Linked DNA regions of Xenopus tropicalis. The protein of the gene in region 1 interacts with the protein of each later gene in a biochemical or structural test. Links are inferred from orthologs where the notes say so. Each region holds a gene or a part of one and is shown in the gene's direction. Other genes may lie near its edges.

Region 1 (10,337 bases):
TGCATGTAATCTAATGAATCAGCCATACAGCATATGTATTCCTTGATGGTATAATGGATAAGGTGGCGTCACCTTTGCACCTCCAGTGTTGAGTTTAACATAGCATTGCCATTAAACCTCACTCTTTGGAAGCAGTGGCGTAATTACACCACAGCACAGGCCCCTTGGAGGGGGGTGGCTTGAGTGCAGCCTCCAACATAGTGTAGTTCCCCTCAACAGCAATTAACTTTGATGGCCTGGGCTTTCCACATGTACCTGGTTTAATCTCCTTGTTTTTGGTTACATCACCTGTCACTGGAAATACAATTGCAACGACCTGTCATTCTCATCTAAAGTCAGGGAAAAATAAAGGACAAGTGCATAGGCTGTGTACATTGATTGGTCCTGCCACATGTCCTGTAGGGGCATAAATTAGACCAGCCCATACGTAGCTCATTCGCATACGGTTACAGGGGCAATATACCCCCTTTTTTCAACATTAGCTTAATGTATAATTGTAATGTCTAGTGCTCAGCATACTTTTTGTCTATTGTTTTACGTCTTGCACTAAACAGGCCAAAATCTAAAGATCAAAGTTATACTCTGCTTCCTCTACTGACAAGCAAAATGAAAACAAATCACTGGTCGAGCTTAGATTGTGCTCATATGAATCAGAAAGTAGAATGTGCCTTTACTTATAACTTTTAGTTTTCCCTGTTTAGTACAAGAAATAACAAATTTCATAACTAAAACAAAAGGCAAAGTTGTGATCATTGACCTAATGTTGAAAAAAGGGGTATACTTCTTTATTTACAGAAATGCTGCAGCACTAGTACTAGCTCTTGCAAATCTACTTTGGCAAAAGGCAAAGCAAACACCTATGGTGTGACTTTGTATTTCCCAAGAACCTTAGGGTTTTTTTTCTGTGCTTCTTAGAAACAACGGAATCTGTGAACAGGTCTATTGAAATCTTTTGTAGGCAAGCCAAATCCTCTCACCACTAGGGCTCACTATTTTAGCAGCTGCCAAGCTCAAGGTCACTGCTTTAACTAAAGCAATCAGTTATCTTTCAGCACATCTGAGTACAAATGTACAGTCCTAGTTTTAAGCCCTTTGAATATTTTGTTGTTTAGTTAGTATTAGAGAGCCCTTGTTTTGCCTGGAGGAAGAAGTCACACCACTGTTCTCTTCCTTTGCAGATAAAAACCCATGAATTGTTGAATACAAAACCTTTTGTTAGATCTGATGCAAAGTCCATGGTATTAAACGTTTAAACAATTGTTTGAAATCGTCCTTACAACAGAAATGTGAATAAATATGCTTTGAGATTCTCCGTTGCCAGTGATGTACTTACTCAGTTCATTTCAATGCTGGGATACTAGCATGAGTATTATAGGGAACTATTATTAACATTTATTTATAAAGCGCCAACATATTCTGCAGCACTGTACAATAAGTACCATAACATTAAAACCACAGAGATTATGTAGAGTGAATCATTTTTTTAAAGGAAAAATGAAGATGTAATGGGGGATTTTGGGATTCGCCCAAATATTTTGAGAAAGATTTTCTAGAATTCAAACCCTAATTTCCAATTTCCAAATGCAGATTAGGCTACAGAAATGTTAGAGGACTCATGCATTAGGTAAAAATTGTTTAACTTAAACACTCTTGCTATGAAAAGTCACGTGATTTTAAAGATTTGGATTTGGTTCAGCCAGGCACTTGGATTCGGCCAAACCAAATCCTGAATTCAGTGCAGCCCTAGATATAATATGATCTTCATTTCACAGAAATAAGAAATGTTCAATATATTAAGTTACTCTTTCATTAGCCCCTCTCAGCAATATGTATCTATTTATACAGCCCTCTCTGATTTTGATTGACAGGTACTAGACATTCGTTTGTGCCCCCTTTACCTAGACATTGGAGGGAATGAGGAGAATAACCTGGTTATTTAATAAATGGTAAAAAATTTAAAATTGATTTTGTTTTAAAGTTTATTTGTGCCATGAGATGAAGTATATATTAAATCCTCACCTTTGCAATGGGCCCCCTTTAAAATGATGTTTGTGTGTATACGCTTGCTCAAGCTTGAGAAGCACCTGTGATGCTGGATGATATTAGCGGAGACCACCACAGTGTTGTGTCCTGCACGCTGTTCATAAGCCTAACAAATACAGCCTTCTGTGATGCTTTCAGAGGACAATTGCTCAATCAACGCATCGAAGATAAAAACATGTCAGCAAATGTGTTTGTACTACTGGCTCAGTGACCTGTCTATTGAACAGCAATGATGAATTTGGCTTGTGTGCTTAAGGGCTCTGGCAGACGGGGAGACTAGTTGCCCGCGACAAATCTCCCCGAAATGCCATCCCACCGGTGAAAATGTAATTCGCTGGTGGGATGGCATACGCACGCCGCAATTTCCCCAAATTCATGGAAGTTGCCTTGAAAAGAAACTTCTGCAATTTCGGGGGAAATCGCGGCGCCGTGTATGCCATCCCACCGGCGATTTACATACTCACCAGTGGGATGGTATTTCGGGGAGATTAGTCGCGGGCGACTAGTCTCCCCGTCTGCCAGAGCCCTAAAGGCTAATAAACATTGCCAATAGATAGATTAGACAGATAAATAATCTTAGATTGGTGGGTAGATTGGATTCATTACTAAATTAGGTAAATATAAATCGATTTGATAGCTAAACAGAGAGAAATGATAGATGATGAGAGAGATTAGATTGATTGGATAGATATATGGGATTATATAACTCCTTTTATAGTACTGGACAATAAGGCAGGTCTAAAACATGAATGTACAGTATATATTTTTATATAGCACTAATTCTGTACACAGCATTTTACATTAATATAAAAGATAATAGAATGTAAATGCAAAAAATACAGTTACATTTTAAGAGACAAGAAGGAGGAGATCCCTGCCCTATAGAGTTTACAATCCAAAATGTAGTACTATGCCCAAAGGTAATGTGATTATACAAGGTGATAATATAGTGAATAATGTACCTCCTACTGTAAAATATAAATATATTATAAGTCACCAACAAGTTCCATGACCATAAGGTCCCATCTGACCATCAAATAAGGCGCTGGCATTACAAGTACACAGAGGCCAAACAGCCCCCTACCAGCCCAATAAATAGTGACTGTCTATGGCGCCTTACAGCAGCCCCTCTGGCATTTGCCAGAACCCACAAATTTCAGTCCCAACCTAATGACCATATAAAAATACATGGCCGACTGCTTAAATGCATCATGTGCAGAATTACATCACTAAGCACCTATGATGACTGATGACATCATTAAGTACCATTTATATAGCGAATAAAGTCGACATTATTTTACACTATTAGGGTATTATAAGTCACCAAGGAGTCCCATGACCATTTACAATTACTTTATATAAATGCTCTTTCATACAGGTGACTTCTAATAGCCTTATATTTTACCACAAGGGGACACAAAGTACATTACCAAGAAGCATTTATGGGGCTGTAATGGACACAGGATATCATAGCTCTGTGCTAGTGTTGCTGGTATGCTGCTGTAGTGCTACCAGAGCAGGTGCCCCAGTCCTGAGGAGAAACAGTAATAACTCCCCACAGTCCCAATACGGCTCATTGTTATAGCTGCAGAAAGCCCCATACAAAACACAATGAACCAATATTTTCAAACGCCAATAATAGAACTTTATCAGGGGTTGATGGTGGCAGGCAACAGTTCCGAACTACATTTCCCAGGATCCCCATATAAACTGCAGAGAATGTGGAAGTAGGAGTAGTTAGCAGGCAGCCGGATCAGATGACAGTGCCGCCCCGGCACACACATGGTTACAGGGAGGGGTGTAGGTGGGTGTGTGGGATTAATATTAATGAGGAGGCGTGCCTACATGCGTGCAGTTAGTGTGCGGGCGGATCATCATTCCGGAGGAGTGGGCGTGGCCGAGGCCCGGGCATACTTTGTCCCGCTCGGGTGTTGCCGGAGTGAGCTAGCAGCCATGTCTTACATCCCGGGCCAGCCGGTCACTGCTGTAGTGGTGAGTTTGGGTGAATCGGGGGAGCCGCAGGGACGGGGCCCAATTCGGCTTGTACCTCCCTTCCCTTCCATGTACCCTGTTATATGGGCTTACACAACCTGCCCGCCGCTAGTGTCTGTATTGAGCCTTACGTAATGCTCACACCCCCGCTCCGAAACTTCAGGAGCCCCCCGTCATTCCATTGTGTCTTACAGGCAAGCGCTGCCCCAACTTCCATCAGCTACAATGCAACAGCGCCCCCAGCTGATGATTCCTTGTACTGTAGGGCAGAGCCTTCCTCCCCATCATTTCTGTTCCCTGGGCTGTAGTGCAAATGCCCACTGTTCCCTGGGCTGTAGTGCAAATGCCCACCGTTCCCTGGGCTGTATTGCAAGCGCCCACCGTTCCCTGGGCTGTAGTGCAAGCGCCCACCGTTCCCTGGGCTGTAGTGCAAGCGCCCACCGTTCCCTGGGCTGTAGTGCAAGCGCCCACCGTTCCCTGGGCTGTAGTGCAAGCGCCCACCGTTCCCTGGGCTGTAGTGCAAGCGCCCACCGTTCCCTGGGCTGTAGTGCAAGCGCCCACCGTTCCCTGAGCTGTAGTGGAAATGCCTGCCGTTCCCTGAGCTTTAGTGCAAGCGCCCGCCGTTCCCTGGGCTGTAGTGCAAGCGCCCGCCGTTCCCTGGGCTGTAGTGCAAATGCCCGCCGTTCCTTGGGCTGTAGTGCAAGCGCCCACTGTTCCTTGGGCTGTAGTTCAGGCACCCGCCATTCCCAGGGCTGTAGTTCAGGCACCCACTGTTCCTTGGGCTGTAGTTCAGGCACCCGCCATTCCCAGGGCTGTAGTTCAGGCACCCGCCGTTCCCTGGGCTGTAGTGCAAGCGCCCGCTGTTCCCTGGTTTGTAGTTCAGGCACCCGCTGTTCCCTGGTTTGTAGTTCAGGCACCCGCCATTCCCTGGGCTGTAGTTCAGGCACCCGCCATTCCCTGGGCTGTAGTTCAGGCACCCGCCATTCCCTGGGCTGTAGTTCAGGCACCCGCCATTCCCTGGGCTGTAGTTCAGGCACCCGCCATTCCCTGGGCTGTAGTTCAGGCACCCGCCATTCCCTGGGCTGTAGTTCAGGCACCCGCCATTCCCTGGGCTGTAGTTCAGGCACCCGCCATTCCCTGGGCTGTAGTTCAGGCACCCGCCATTCCCTGGGCTGTAGTTCAGGCACCCGCCATTCCCTGGGCTGTAGTTCAGGCACCCGCCATTCCCTGGGCTGTAGTTCAGGCACCCGCCATTCCCTGGGCTGTAGTTCAGGCACCCACCATTCCCTGGGCTGTAGTTCAGGCACCCGCCATTCCCTGCCCTGTAAAACAAGCAACCATTAAACAACCTTTGTGGTCACTCTGCTGAAGGGCAAGAGATTACCACATCATCCCTTGGATTTGTAAACTCCCAAATAGTCTGCTGAACAGTCATATTATAGCTGGTTGGAGATGTTCTGCCATGGTCAGACTGTAAAATCCCATGGCGTTTACTATTTGTTATTAATATTATGTAAAGTGTAAACTCACTATTTCTTGTGTGTGTGGGGCAGATTATTATGTCCTCCCATGAGGTATGTGAAGACCTTGTGCATGCTGGGGGCCATACAAAAATGTTGTGGATGGGCCACATCTGGCGTTTGGGGCTTCCAGCTGGACAGCCCTGTCATCTACTGTAAGGAGAATATCCCCCTGTTTTCCTTCCCCGCTATATGAGGAGCGCTGGCATATGGTAGGACATAAGCACTTTTAGGCACTGGTGGATGCCTAACAATTTTCCACTCCCCATTTATTTTTCTATTTGCTTGCCCTTTAAGGGTGGTTTCATTTCATTTAAGGGTGGTTTCTCAATGCTTTTCTGATGGTACTCCAAAGCAGACTGGCAATCTGGAGATTCTGGCAAATGCCAGAGCGGCAGCTATAGGATGCCATATTATTATTTAATTATGTTTGGGCTTCTGTGTTCTTGAAATGCCAGGGCATATTTTGACTTTTTCTCACTCCCAGTTAACCTCCCTTTTATAATGAATTCCTCTATCAATTCATTTTCATGTCTCTTGTTTAACCTACTGCTTGGTTGCTAGGATAAATAAACCCCTAGCAACCAGATAACTGCTCCAATACCAAACTGGAGAGCTGTTATAAAGCTAAATTACTGGAAAACTATAAAAAATAAAAATTAAGACAAATTGCAAACTGTCTCAGAATATCAATTTCTACATCATATTTAAAGTTAATTTTAAGGTGAACTACCTGTACCCATTTAACAACGATGGCTTTATGAGTTTTAGCAGGCTTGCAAAGGTGGTTAATTTATAGTTTTGCAACATTAGAATTAGAATATAGAAATAAAAGTGATAGCATTTACAGGTGCACTTGATTTTCATAGCCTGAATCAAAGTAAATAATTGAATATTCAATAAATGTATCTCCTGGAGGTATAAACTGAATCATCAGCCCGGTACAAATGAAAGCTAACAGTATGCATTATCATACGTGTGTATGTATTTACGCTGGTAATATTCCCTGGGCGTGTAGAAGAGTTATCCGGTACCGAGCCTCATCATCCTCTTAAATACAGCCAGTTTGATATCAGAGTTCCCATCTGTGGGGCCCGGGGCAGACACTTTAACCTCTGCATAGTGAGGCCTTTGTGAGCAGACTAAATGCAGTTGGTAACTGCAAGGCTTTTATTAGGGGAAGGAATTCCCCTGCAGGCATTAGATGTAGGCCTGGATACAGCGGAGCCAGTTACCTTTGTGCTTTGTCTTGTCGTCCCAGTGAGGGTTTCCGACTTTGCAGGGCTGTTTCAATAATTGGGCCAAAGGGGCATTTGCCCAGGACCCATCAGGACAGGGGGCCCACTAGCACACTTTTCATCTGGGCTTACTTTTGGCAGAAGCATCCTACATTTTACTGTACATCCCTACAGTATGGTTATTTATATTATTTTTGCCTTTTTTCTTGTGGCATTTCCATTTATCATTTTTCTACTCCCATGGCTGTGGCACACCATCTCTACTTCAGTAAGTACAAACAAGCAGTAGGGACCTACCAGTGAAATATTGCCCAAGGCCTGCTGGTACCTCAAAGTGTCCCTGATCCCTCATTTAGCAACACTGGGCGAATATGCACTTGGGCAGTAGCCAATAGAATCCAGTCAGTGATTAGCATTTGTCAGCCAACTGCAGGTAGAACAGTGAAATTAAAAAAGATATCTTTTCTTTGCTGTGGGTTACTGCCCAGGTGCAAATTTGATTTTTAATAATAGAGCCTAATGATAGGGGTAAAATATCCTGAGGCCTTGGGCTTGTAATTACAGTATTTTCAGCTCTGCAGCTATACAGCCCGTCATTAGCCTTTGTGTATATAGGTACCTTAAGGTCACAAAGGCCAAGCAAAACATTAATTAAATGTATATCCTTATGGCACCTCTTAAGGGCAATTTGCAATTTTTAAAAAATCAATTATATTAAAGTCGGTTGCAATTTTTACTACCTGAATAGATCACTTAACTAAAAACAAAAAATCTGTTAGCTGACATTATAAATAGAGCAGCGTGTCTTACATAAACATGACAGAGCTGGTGGGGTCAGGTGTATCTGTGCTACAAGTTGCATTCTTCGTCTTTGCAAACTATTTGCACCAAATCAGTGCCATAGCACGGGCACGCTTGTACCAGCATGTCTGCGTGACTCATATAAGGCAGGTCAGAGGTCCCTGGTGTGTTACTTTTCCTAGTATGTTTGTCTAAGGGTTACACCCTGTTAGATACACCTTTTATCTACTGGGGAAGGCTGGCATTGAGGCAGAAATGCTGTCCTCCAAGGGCTCATTATCTACACGGAGACCTTGGCCTGTATTAAGCCTGTGAGCTTCCAGTTGGAGAGAAGTGATTTTTGTACTTTAAGCTCCGTTTTGACCATTACTTCTATTGGAACTACTGCAAGTGAATGTCATGACAGTGTCTTTATTTATATAGCTGTAACCTTCCTAAAGAGGGTCTGACCAAATGCTGGATATCCTGGCCATGGAATACAACTCTATAGTCACGTTATCATTCCTTCTTCAGTGCTTGCGAGGGTCAAAGTCAGGCTTATGGAAGATCAAGTACAGAGAACTTGTTCTCTTTTATTCAGTGGTTTTATTTGCTTTGCTACCATTCTCCATAGGTTCCAAAGGGCTGGAGCCACCAGTTTCTTCCCCATTCTGCAATATTGTCCCAACAGCCAGCCTGCTGCTACCAGTGGGTTTTCAAAAGCCCACACAATGCAGTCTTATTTTATCTTTAGATCTGCTGTCTTGGATTAAAAACAAATAAATTATGGACACGTTGCATCACAATTCTGGGTGCTGGCTGGACTTTTAATTACCATTGTGTTGGGCACAGTAGGGATATTTTGTATTTCTTAGGTTGAAGACACACAGAGCTACTAGTAGTGGCTACTTATAGTGGCTACTAAAATAGACAATGCTGATCATTTACTGATAACTGTCTCTACGTGTGTTTTAGCAGAGGCAATTCTCAGTATTGTCTATGGCAGGGTATATTCTGGAGTTTAGTAGCTGTGAAAAGTAGCTGCTGCTAAGTAGCTCTGTGTGTCTTCACCCTAAGAAATTGTATTGGCTGCTGAAAAAATGTATATCTGCATTGGATACATTTGGCTCTGTCTCTTCAGCAGTGTTGTTATAGAATAGAGTAGAATATGTTCTTATAGAAATGTGGCCCCCTTCTGACAGAGACGGCTTAGATACAGGAGGAATGCGTGACAGTCCTAGCTGAAGGCCAAGCGATAGAGACGTATCTAAGTTTCTGTTGGGGTGAGCCAGATCCTGAGATGTTTAACCAATGAGTCATGGCTGTTTGGCATATGGTGCATAGAAACACATATCTGGGTAACTCTCCAAAACGGCAGTAGGCCAAGCTGCCTTCCACAAACCCCTGCATATTCTGTTTCGTGCTGTTTTCAAATTAGCAGTTATTTTATCAATTACCTATGAACACATTCTTTTCTCAGGGCCGGGTCCAAGGTAATACACCATTTTTTTGGGGGGGGGGGGGGCGGGGATCCATGAAGTTATACTTTAAAAATAAACAAAGGCCAACATATTAGGAAACAGTGATATCATGTTTTACTCTCACCATTTTGCCCTATTATACCTGTTATCACTCATCCCATATCAAGTACAGCTGCTCTGAGAGCGGTTCAGCAATCATTGTGAATGCCAGGGGCCCAAGCTCCAATTTTACCAATCTCTGTTGTAAGTCATAAGGAACTGCAGGGGTTGCTAAGTGACCCCTGATACAGGGTGGTGGTGGTAGGTGAGATTCACAACATGGGGCTGCAAATGCACAACACAATGTATTTTCGAGGACAAGATGGTGCTAAGAATTACATTGGCCCAGTGGTTGAAGGTCCTTTCTTTGGCCAGGACATTGTCAAGCAGTTCATTCAGCTCTGGTTTCAAGAACAGCAAATAAGAAATTACACTGAATGGAACTGTTACTGATATTCAGACTGGGTTTATGGGATGGCTAATAACCAGAAGGGTTAAACCTCAGTCCTTGATTTGGAACTAATTTCCATTCCTTTTTTTCTGTAGCAACGGGTTGAAATCTATAAATTGCACCAAGGGGATAATCTGATCCTTGGCTTCAGCATTGGAGGAGGAATCGACCAGGACCCGGCACAAAACCCTTTCTCCGAGGACAAGACAGACAAGGTTGGAACTTCTTGTGATTGCGCATTGATACTTGAGTGAGATAGCTCAGCATGTAATGACAGTTGCAAAGATTACTATGGCTTATATGAGTGCTTTACATTTGCCAGGAGAGAAAATGCATACACAGCTTGCTATCACCTTGTGTGGTATGTAGGCAATGAAAGGAATCTACACACAGGCTGGATTTTGGCCAGAAAATGGACACTTTCAGGCTGAAATGTGTGCAGTGACAGGCAGACATTATTCCTGTCACACATGGGTCTGCATGGGGCAGTTTTAGTGTTTAGAGAAACCACTACGTGCAGCTAGAGATGGCAGGGGGCTGTAGATTGAAGCCATGACATGTGTTTTCCATGTATCTGCGATTCCCTGGGCCACTAGGGAGACCACTCCCCCACCCTCCTTATTGCTTTGGAATGGGGGTAAGACAGATAACCTGCTGTAAAAGCTGGCAATCTGCCCCTGGAAGTGCTTCAGGTCATAAAATCTACGATCTGTGGCTCTTCCTTTTATACACACATCATAGACTGTGGCACTACAAATAATGACGTTATGGCATTACTGTTGCTTAAAGTATG
Region 2 (9,729 bases), on another chromosome or scaffold:
TTCAGTAGATAGTTCGCGTTTATATTATTTCTACCAAAATGCATAACTTTGCACTTATCAACATTGAACCTCATTTTCCAGTTTGCTGCCCAGTTTTCTAATTTTGTCAAATCGCTCTGCAAAGCGGCAGCATCCTGCATGGAACTTATAGTTTTGCACAATTTTGTGTCATCAGCAAAAATAGAAACCGTACTCTCTATGCCCACCTCCAGGTCATTAATAAACAAGTTAAAAAGCAAAGGACCAAGGACTGACCCCTGCGGTACTCCACTAACTACACTGGTCCAATTAGAAAATGTTCCATTTACAACCACTCTTTGTAATCTATCCTTCAGCCAGTTCTCTATCCAATTACAAATATTATGTTCTAGGCCAATATTCCTTAATTTGATCATTAACCTTCTGTGAGGTACTGTATCAAACGCTTTAGCAAAGTCCAAGTAGATGACATCAACTGCCATTCCAGCATCAAGGTTCCTACTCACCTCCTCATAAAAGGCGACTAAATTAGTCTGGCAAGATCTGTTACGCATAAAACCATGCTGGCACAAACTAATAGTATTGTGAACTGCAATGTATTCAAGTACCCTATCCCTTATTACCCCTTCCAAAATTTTTCCTACTACTGATGTCAGACTAACAGGCCTATAGTTTTCAGGCTGAGAACGGGATCCCTTTTTAAATAACGGCACCACATTAGCAATCCGCCAGTCTCTCGGCACCATGCCAGACCTCAATGAATCCTGAAAAATTAAGTGAAGAGGTTTGGCAATCACAGCGCTCAGCTCATTTAATACCCTGGGATGAATCCCATCCGGCCCTGGACCTTTGTTTACCTTTACATGTTCAAGTCTCTTTTGAATTTCCTCCCGAGTGACCCATGCGTCAGTAGCTAAATTACTAGAACTGGGCATATAAAAATATTTATATAGCATCTTTATTTTTTACACTGCTTCCTGCATCAGTACTTTAATTAGTTCTGTCTGGCCCAGATAGAACGCCAAATGGCACTCATGTTAAACCTTTATGGTATTAGCAGTGTTTGGCTGCTAACATCATGGAAAGAAAACTAACGAAAAAATTAATGTACACTGTGCATTTTATGTCTCATTTAAATGATCTTGGATGTTTTGCTTTTTGATTTCAAGATTTTTTGAAGACCTGGAGAAAAGGCACAAAGAAAACCCATTCATTGACAACATAAGTGATATTGTAGAACATCATGCTCAGAATAAATTCCAGCCCTACGTGAGTTACTGCTCCAATGAAATGTACCAGCAACGGACTCTCCAAAGGCTCATGTAAGAGACATACAGACACATTCCATTCAATGAGAGGACCTCGCCTCCTGATTTCATTCCATGGTTCCCCACAGACCTCTATGGAGTTTTCATGTGATAAACCATGAGATCAATTTCTCTTGTCAATCTGAATCTGGCTCATAGAGTCTTAATGAGGAGAAATTAGCCACTATGAGTTCACACAGTTTTCTTCTAGGTGCTGGGAGTATCCCATGCAAATTAGGGAGCTTATGAAAATGGGTGGACAGACTCAAAATTTAGGGCATAGTGAGGGTAAAATATATAGCTATATAAGGATGTATACAGATTTCCTTAATTCCTACGCACATTCCCCATAGATTTCTTATTCTCTGGATAAATGTTTTGTATGCATTATAATAACACACCTTGCTTCTCATTGCTGTAACTGCAGTTCATAACTCACTGTATGGCGATTTCAGGTCCACCAATGGGACATTTAAAGACACCTTAAAGCAAATCGAAATGAAGGCGGAATGCGGTGGCCTGCCCATGTTTTCATTCCTAATTTTGCCAATGCAGAGAGTTACACGTCTTCCTCTACTGATGGATGTAAGTAGTCTGAACATTTACATTAACATTTATTGAACGTGTGGCGAAGCTGCCATATTGCACAAATGTTCCCTAGTCTGAGCTGACTTGGTTAAGGCATAATGGAATGGGAAAGGGTTGAGATAAAAGAAATAACAACAGAAAAGAATAGGGTAAGTTTGGTCTGCCAGGGTACCAGAACATCTACTAGTGGGCCCACCCAGAATCATTCCCATCAACCCTTTTTACAATCTGTTATTGTCATTGTAGCAGTTGATGTAAATATTGCCTTTGCCCCTGTTAACTATTACTTAGGCACAGTATGCAGTTGTGTAGGCAGAAGGGAACCCTGTTTACACCTGCAGTTGCCCATGCTGCGTCCAACTTCTCTGCCTCTGGTGGCACCCCTCTCTCTTGCCTGCCAGGATTCTATTTTAGTTAGTAATCTTGATATACAAAGTTACAGATAGTAAGTTATTAAACATCTCATACAGTGATCTCTCTCCACCACTCACCCAGTCCAATGCTGAATAACCACAAACTAAAGGGGGGAGAAAAATGAAGAAAAGAAAAAGTGTATGCACAAGAAAATGTATTAAAAATGGTGGAAGAGAACAGAGGAAAAGTAAGTTTGGAGAAACAGCAGGAAAAGGGTGAGGGCAGAATTGAAAAGGGCAGAAATAGGAAAAACTCTGGCACATTCCAGAAATTGATCCCTCCATGGCTTGGGTGCAGTAGTGAATTATGTGCCTTGCCCTATCCTGTAGAACTGGTGATTATCTGGGCAACTGCTCATGCCTTTTTTACAGCAATGATCTTACACAGGGTTTAGACTCAACATTAACCGTGCATGGGCAGATAAGCTACAAAATCGACCTGAAGGACCATAATGGGCAGCTTAAATCTGCCTGTGTATGGCAACCTTTAATTGTGGTTCCCAACATCTTGGTAGAACTGATTTATGCAGTAACATGATACACAATTTGCTGAAATATCATATTAAGCAGTAAAATTTGATTTGATTAATGATATTAGAATAATGAAAGAAAAGGTCTTTTTAGCTATGGGTGCAATTTATTCTCAACATTTATTTGCCATAACAAATTGTGATTTTTGTTATTGTTGTATGCTTTTTTCCCTAGACTATTTGCCAAAAAATGGACATGCGCACTAAAGAATATGGAGAGACAACTCATGCCCTGAAAGCCTTAAGCAAGGTTAGCTGGAGCCCTTTTTAGCACTGCTTTTTGTATAAACTAATGTATTTTCTATCACAGCAGAACTGATGCAGAGTTGAGCCTTGTCTGAACCCAAATACTTGCACCAGTTTCCTTCAGGTTTGAACCAAGTCCAGTGACAGGTGCAGTTTGGAGGGGACCTAAGGTTATAAGCACTGTTTAAGAAAGGGATCATCTGCTGGTTATGTGTAAAAAAATTTTATTTCGGACACAATTTTGCTTACTAATTAAATGTAAGATGGTGGTAGAACCCTGTCCAGAATGCTTCCAGTTGTCCTGGTGAGAAGCACCTCTGAAAATTTAATTGCGTCTCCTAGCTCCACATTTTAGCGATAAGCTGCCAGCTGGAGGGAAGCAGCTTCTGATTCCCCTACAAGCAATTTATCAGGTCCTGTCCACAATCTGACATGGACCCGATGCTCTCACTCGTTTACTGAGAACAGAGAGCTTTTTTCCAAGGTAAATTAGAGACAGCATGGGGTTCATGTAGTCCTTGCATGTGAATTAACACCATGCATAGCAATTTAAAAAAATTCTATTACTAAGATAATGACCAAATTTGGTCAAATCCAGAAAATAAAGTTTATTTAAATACGTAGGCAAGTTTGCTCGGGGACACTGCTGGTTGCTTATTAAATATGTTATTAGAAAAGCAATTTCTTGTGGTGCTTTATGAACCAAGCAATTACCTCCTGAATCCCTTTGCAGATAGGTAAACACATGTTTTTCTATTGGTTTCTGTTAACAGTTGGTTAAGCAGTGCAATGAAGGGGCACGGAAGATGGAAAGGACAGAACAGATGTACACCCTGCAAACGCAGCTTGAGTTCGGAAAGATCAAGGTAGGAAGTCTGTTTACAAAAATTTTAAAAAAAAGTGTATTTCCATATTTATGCATAACCAGTATACACATGAGCAGCTGCATTTACTTAGGTTTTGTACCTACAGTAAGGAGCAGCTAATTCTGCATTCAGCTATCATCATCTGTTTGTTCTCAATTGTAAAACTCTGAGGCCATGTTTTCTCATGTACACACTGGGCAGAATAACTTTTACAGAACCGTGTTTTGTGCTCAGAATATTGTCTGTTATGTACGGCAGGTGTTATCATTGGGGCAAAGTAAATGTGCACCAAGAGCTCTTCCCAGTTTCATTTTTTTTTTTAGCTATTTTAGAAAAAGTCATCAAAGGAGAATTAATCCCTAAAAATAAATATGGCTAAAATTGCTATATTTTGTAAACTGAATGTTGCATCCCCAGTAGGATTATTTGCCTCCAGTAAAGATTAATTATATCTTCACTGGGATCAAGTACAAGGTACTGTTTTGTTATTACAGAGAACAAGGAAATAGTTTTTTAAAAATGCAAATTGTTTGATTAAAATGGAGTCTACGGGGGATGGCCTTCAAATAATTTTGGAATTTCTGGATAGTGGGTTTCCAGATAAGAGACCCAAGATGTAGTTCAAAGTTGTGCACAGGGTTTTTGGATTTTGTTAAGCAACTTTGCACATACTAAGGGGCAGATTTATTAATGTACAATCAGTCCGAATCAGACTTTTTCGTACTTTGCGACAAAATTTTTGCGACAAAATCGTATTGTCATTTAAGCTTCGGTATCATGACTTTCCTTGAGCCAGGTCGGAGCTGCAGAGTGCCATTGAGTCCTATGGGAGGCTTCCAAAATCATGCACAGTAGGATCAAAGTCGGAAAGGTTTTACCAATTATGATCGTTCTATACGAAAATTTTGTGACTTTCAGATCGCCAATATGATATTATCGTGATATTTGCGATCATCAGAAATTATCGTATCCAATCCGAATTTTACCCATTTCGGGATTCGAACTCGTACTTTGGTGAATGTGCCCCTTAGTGTGATCTGGGCAGCTTTTGCAAATCCGAGCTTAGGGGCTGTCACAAATTTTCAAGCAGCAAATGAGCTAAAGCTACAGGGCTGATTATTAAAATCTGATGCTATATTGAAGTGGTTTTAGAGCTGTGTCTGTATTATATACTAATTAGACTATTGTGATATTCATGTATGTGTCATTATGAAAAGGTGGTTTCTCAGATTTCCTTTTGACAAGGAATGAACCTTGTTACCATTTGGCAGACTTTCAGACCATTCCGTTTGTGAAGAAGGATTCATTTTTTCTTTTGCTTTCCTAAATTAGCCTTTTCCACTCATTTCTGCCTCGCGCTGGTTGCTGAAGAGAGGTGAACTTAACCTTGTAGAGGAATCTGGAGTTTTCTGGAAAGGCTTTGGAAAGACTTCTTGCTATCTCTTCTTATTCAATGACATCCTTATAATAACAAAGAAAAAAAGGTGATGTTACTATGAATATATGATACACCAACCTATTCTACTGTGTGTTTCAAAATATACAAATGTTTGTTCTCTAAAACTAATAAAAACTTCAAATTAAAAAAAAAAAAATAAAAATGAACGTGCGCTACAGATGGTAATTTCCTAGGCTCAGGTGAAGGGCAAAGTGAGGGGGTGGGGGCAGTTACAGAAGGCTACAGGGAATGTTTCATCCTAAGAACAAATAATGGGTGGTGCCAGACTGGCAGTACTAGGAAAGAACCATTTAATGGAATGTTTTTTAAAGGTAGGCAAGACCATTGCTTGGTATTGAAGGTAGACTGGAATGTACCACTAGACAGAGCTACGGATTGGGGGTTTCCACAGATAATGTTAAAGAATAAGCCCTTAGGCTGGCTCTATTCTCTGTGCAAATTCCTAAACAGATTTTTGATGCTAATATGTGAAGCCATTTTGTATCACTTACAAGTAAAAGAAAACCCTTATAGTATTTCCTTTTGTGTAGTTTCTACTATTGTTGTAGTTGTTGCATGTTTTTTTTTATGTTTTCAGTGAGGAAAACTACATTGTAACAGATTATGTCATGATGGATCAGTTTGCTGTGGCTAAAATAGAAAATGGTGACCCACAGCTATCGCCTCCTGCAAAGACTGGGACAAGTGGCCCCCGTAGTCCAAATGGGCCCTTCTTGTTCCAGATTCATATCAGTAAGAACAGTGAAGGGAAACAGGATGAAATTGTGTTGGCGGCTGACAGTCTGTAAGTATCTGCCATTGTACCTGTTACTTTTTGCATTGCAGGTTTATTGAATAAATGAGAGAGCTAGCAGTATTTATAACTAGATAAAGGTAAAATATATGCTCAGATCCCACTAACGATAGCTCAGTATACAACGCATATCTGGGCACTGAGCGAATACCAACTATCTGATAGGCATTGTCCAACCTACCTGCAGCATCCTGTGGCAGAGAGTATCAAGACTATAGGAGTTGTAGTTCAACAAAAACAAAGGTCCAAAGTTGGGCATTCCAAGGCGAGATCTCATTACGCATGTTTATATGCAGGAGTGATAGAGCACGGTGGGTTGCTGCACTTGAGCGGAAGGAAGACAACAAAGAGAACAGCAGATCTAGGAGAGGAGGTAAGAAAATATGGAAGTGATCACCATGGCACAGAAGGTAGAGCCTGCTTGTTTGTGCTTTATTTAGAATGATGATTATTTTAAAGAAAAATAAAACGATGTAATGATTTAGGCAAAAATGTGCTAGTGTAATAAACAATATAAAGTTAGCCCATATCAACCAATCGGTGTCTGGTTTCAGATAACTGAACGGTAAATGCTGCCTGCGGCCTTGTGCTTTTATGTGGTCATGGAACTCCTGTGATTTCCCTGGTCGTACTCCATATCAGCACTATCTGGGATATCCCCGCCCCCATGCCCCATCAGAAGGATCCTCCCCAAAGCTTTAAAAGCCACCCCCACCCCCTCTATGGCGTCTTTTTTTCCTTCTGCTTTCCTTGCTCCATTGGAAGCAACGTTTTTGCTTTTTAGCCTTGGGAAAGCATTAGGTGACCGGAAATGGCACCTAGGGACTGGGGTTTTTTGGTCCATGAGATCTTTTCCCCTGCACATTACCTCATATCCTGGGATCTTCGGCTCTGTTCTGCTTGATAAGGTAGGACAATGCTGTTGGTATATTTGATCCCATGTGCCTTTCTGGTTTGTCATAATGGCATCCAATGGCAAGTGCTAGTCCCCCCATCCGTATGCCCTCCCAGGCCGTGAGTGTCTGGTGGCAATGGTGTGTGGCCCGACACACTTAATATTTTTGCGGATGGGCGAGGGAGGTGGAAGTTAGCAGTCCTCAACATTTAGTTAGTGGCCTGAGTCTGGCGATCTCCATATTCCTTTTTGTTCTACTGTGTGGAGAGATTTTTTTTTTTTTAATAGAGCCAGAGTTCAAAGCCTACTGCCTCCCTCACAAAGTCTTTCCTAAGGTTTTGTATTAAGAGGTGTTTAAAAAAAAAAAAAAAAAAAAAAAAAAAAGGGCCTGACACCCCACTGTCTTTAAACATTGGGCTGCATTATGTACTACAAATGGGTTAGTTTGCCTGCTAGTTGCTACATACCTGGATAGCTTTAGCTGAATGTAACCAGTCAAATATTATGGTTACTTGCAGACAGATTGGGTGATTCATTGAACCTTTCAGTTGCTCTGGATTGTGTTACAGTTGCTAGGGCAGAGCCATGTAGTAACCTTGGGAACTGCCTAATGAAATGCATTCCTGAGTAGCCTCAGGTGAATGTGATTATGTGCTAAGCTACACTCTACCTGAGCTTTCCAGAGATTGCAGCAGTCCTGTGTCATGGCTACTTGCTGATACATGGGGTAATGCGTCAACTCCTTTCAGCTGCCCGCATTGTGTTATGGTTGCTAGGGCACTGTAGTGTAGTTACTACTAAGAACTGGCTAATTAGATGCATTCCTGAGTAGTCTCAGGTGAATGTGATTACGTGATCAGCTACACTCCAGCTGAGCTTCCCAGAGAGTTGCACCAGTTCTGTGTTATGGCTACTGCTACTACACCAGGTAATGCACTAATATTTCACTTACTGTGGAAGGTGTTTATAGTAGTCAGGGCATTATAGAGTTGAAGTAACTCTGAGATCTGTATCTGCATTAGCTGGGTATAATTATGTGTATGCACATGGATCCAGTACTTTGCCATCACGATTGTAGCCAGATTGTATTGCTGCATTAGGGCTGAAGTTGTTCAGGTGCCTCGCTAGTAGTAGCCTGGCTAATTATGTTTAAAACTCTGTATAAGGGTCTGTAGTATAACCCTACTGGCTAATTGGGGTGTAACCAGAGTACCTCTGCTGAAGGTAATTATGTAATTAGCCAAAGGTGTTGTGGCTCTCATTCCAGTCCTGAGTTCCCAGAGTATAGCACCATAGGCTGGGAAGGTAAGGTTCTGTATACTGATTTTGTTTGCTGGTTTCCTATATCAGTCCTCCTTTAGGAACCTCTTTCCAGTTTTTGATGCCTAAGGTAGGCCATAACTATTGGCTTAGAGAGCTATAGTATTATAGAAATCGAGAGCCCTTTATTCTGATCACTTAAAGGTGTTTTGTAGCACACTGCAGAGGGCTGTAATCCTACCTTGTCAGCTAGCAGCAATTATTGGCCGTGCTTTGGGGTCCCCAGGCCAGGCTTGTGTTGCTACCAGTAAACTAACACAATTATTGATTTGTGATTAGCATTATCTGCATATGTGTTAATAGTGTATTGCCATGTAGTTTTCTTTCAGGCTATGCATGGGCACATTGCCATTAAGTGTTCCTATACTTATGCTGTATGTTTCTCTGTACAATAATCACCAGCAGATTTTTTTTTTTTTTTTTTTCACTTTTCTAAGGTTTAGAACCCTGTATTATGTATGCTTAAACTGCAAATGTCTGGGTACCAGATAATATTCATTAGTTCTTCAGCAACCCTGTAGAACCCTGTATTATGCATGCTTAAACTGCAAATGTCTGGGTACCAGATAATATTCATTAGTTTTTCAGCAACCATTGGCTGGTAACAATTTGGGCAGTAAGCATACCTAAAGCTTTAGCTGACTGAATGTTTGCTGTACTGGGCAATGTGCATGTTCATGAATCTGCAGCCCAAACAGAGTGCATCTCTAGCATCTCCAAATATGTGCTATTAGCATGCCTAAAGCTGCAGCACAATTCATGGTTCCTGTATTATGCATGCTTAAACTGCAAATGCCGGGGTACAAAATAATATTCATTAGTTTCTGCAGCAACCAGAGTCTGGTACCAGTTTGGGCAGTAAGCATACCTAGAGCTTTAGCTGACTGAATGTTTGCTGTACTGGGCAATGTGCATGTTTATGAATCTGCAGCCCAAACAGAGTACTATCTCCAGCATTTCTTTTATCTGTGCTATTAGCATGCCTAAAGCTGCAGCACAATTCATGGTTCACTGTGTCCTATTATTGATAAGCTTCATAAGCTGTTGCCAGTTCTGGGTTTTGTAGGCCTTTTTTGCAGTACTTCTAAGACCAGGTAGTATGTATGGGCCAAGCTGCAGGTTTCATTGGGCCCTGTGGGTATGCAAGCGGAATGCATTACGGTTATAACTACATCTGAACCAAAAGGGTTATGCTCACATGCTGTAGTTCAACTGTGGGGCCATTGGGCCTGTAGTAATTATTGAGCCTGGCATAAAACCATGATCCATAATATGCTGCAAAACAAACATTCCTCTGAGTTTGCAGTTATTCTAGAGCCCAGCAACATGCGTT

The links.
Region 2: the proteins of tax1bp3 (region 1) and arhgef16 form a complex in vitro, tested with the Homo sapiens proteins (2 studies listed by BioGRID and IntAct, with this or other methods). The link is inferred for Xenopus tropicalis from reciprocal best matches to the Homo sapiens genes TAX1BP3 and ARHGEF16.

Annotation. Positions count from the first base shown.
Region 1 is NC_030678.2:30,660,858-30,671,194, reverse strand, and holds the start of tax1bp3 (tax1-binding protein 3), read left to right. Parts: upstream 1-3,977; 5' UTR 3,978-3,996; coding exon 3,997-4,035; intron 4,036-4,041; exon of another isoform or gene 4,042-4,260; coding exon of another isoform or gene 4,261-5,379; exon of another isoform or gene 5,380-6,161; intron 6,162-9,639; coding exon 9,640-9,759; intron 9,760-10,337. Other genes in the region: hornerin-like, read left to right, coding at 4,261-5,379. UniProt on the Homo sapiens protein: May regulate a number of protein-protein interactions by competing for PDZ domain binding sites. Binds CTNNB1 and may thereby act as an inhibitor of the Wnt signaling pathway. Competes with LIN7A for KCNJ4 binding, and thereby promotes KCNJ4 internalization.
Region 2 is NC_030683.2:101,741,535-101,751,263, reverse strand, and holds part of arhgef16 (rho guanine nucleotide exchange factor 16), read left to right. Parts: intron 1-1,148; coding exon of another isoform or gene 1,149-1,269; coding exon 1,270-1,301; intron 1,302-1,741; coding exon 1,742-1,871; intron 1,872-2,992; coding exon 2,993-3,067; intron 3,068-3,836; coding exon 3,837-3,929; intron 3,930-5,261; coding exon 5,262-5,413; intron 5,414-5,965; coding exon 5,966-6,172; intron 6,173-6,477; coding exon 6,478-6,554; intron 6,555-8,256; exon of another isoform or gene 8,257-8,381; intron 8,382-9,729. UniProt on the Homo sapiens protein: Guanyl-nucleotide exchange factor of the RHOG GTPase stimulating the exchange of RHOG-associated GDP for GTP. May play a role in chemotactic cell migration by mediating the activation of RAC1 by EPHA2.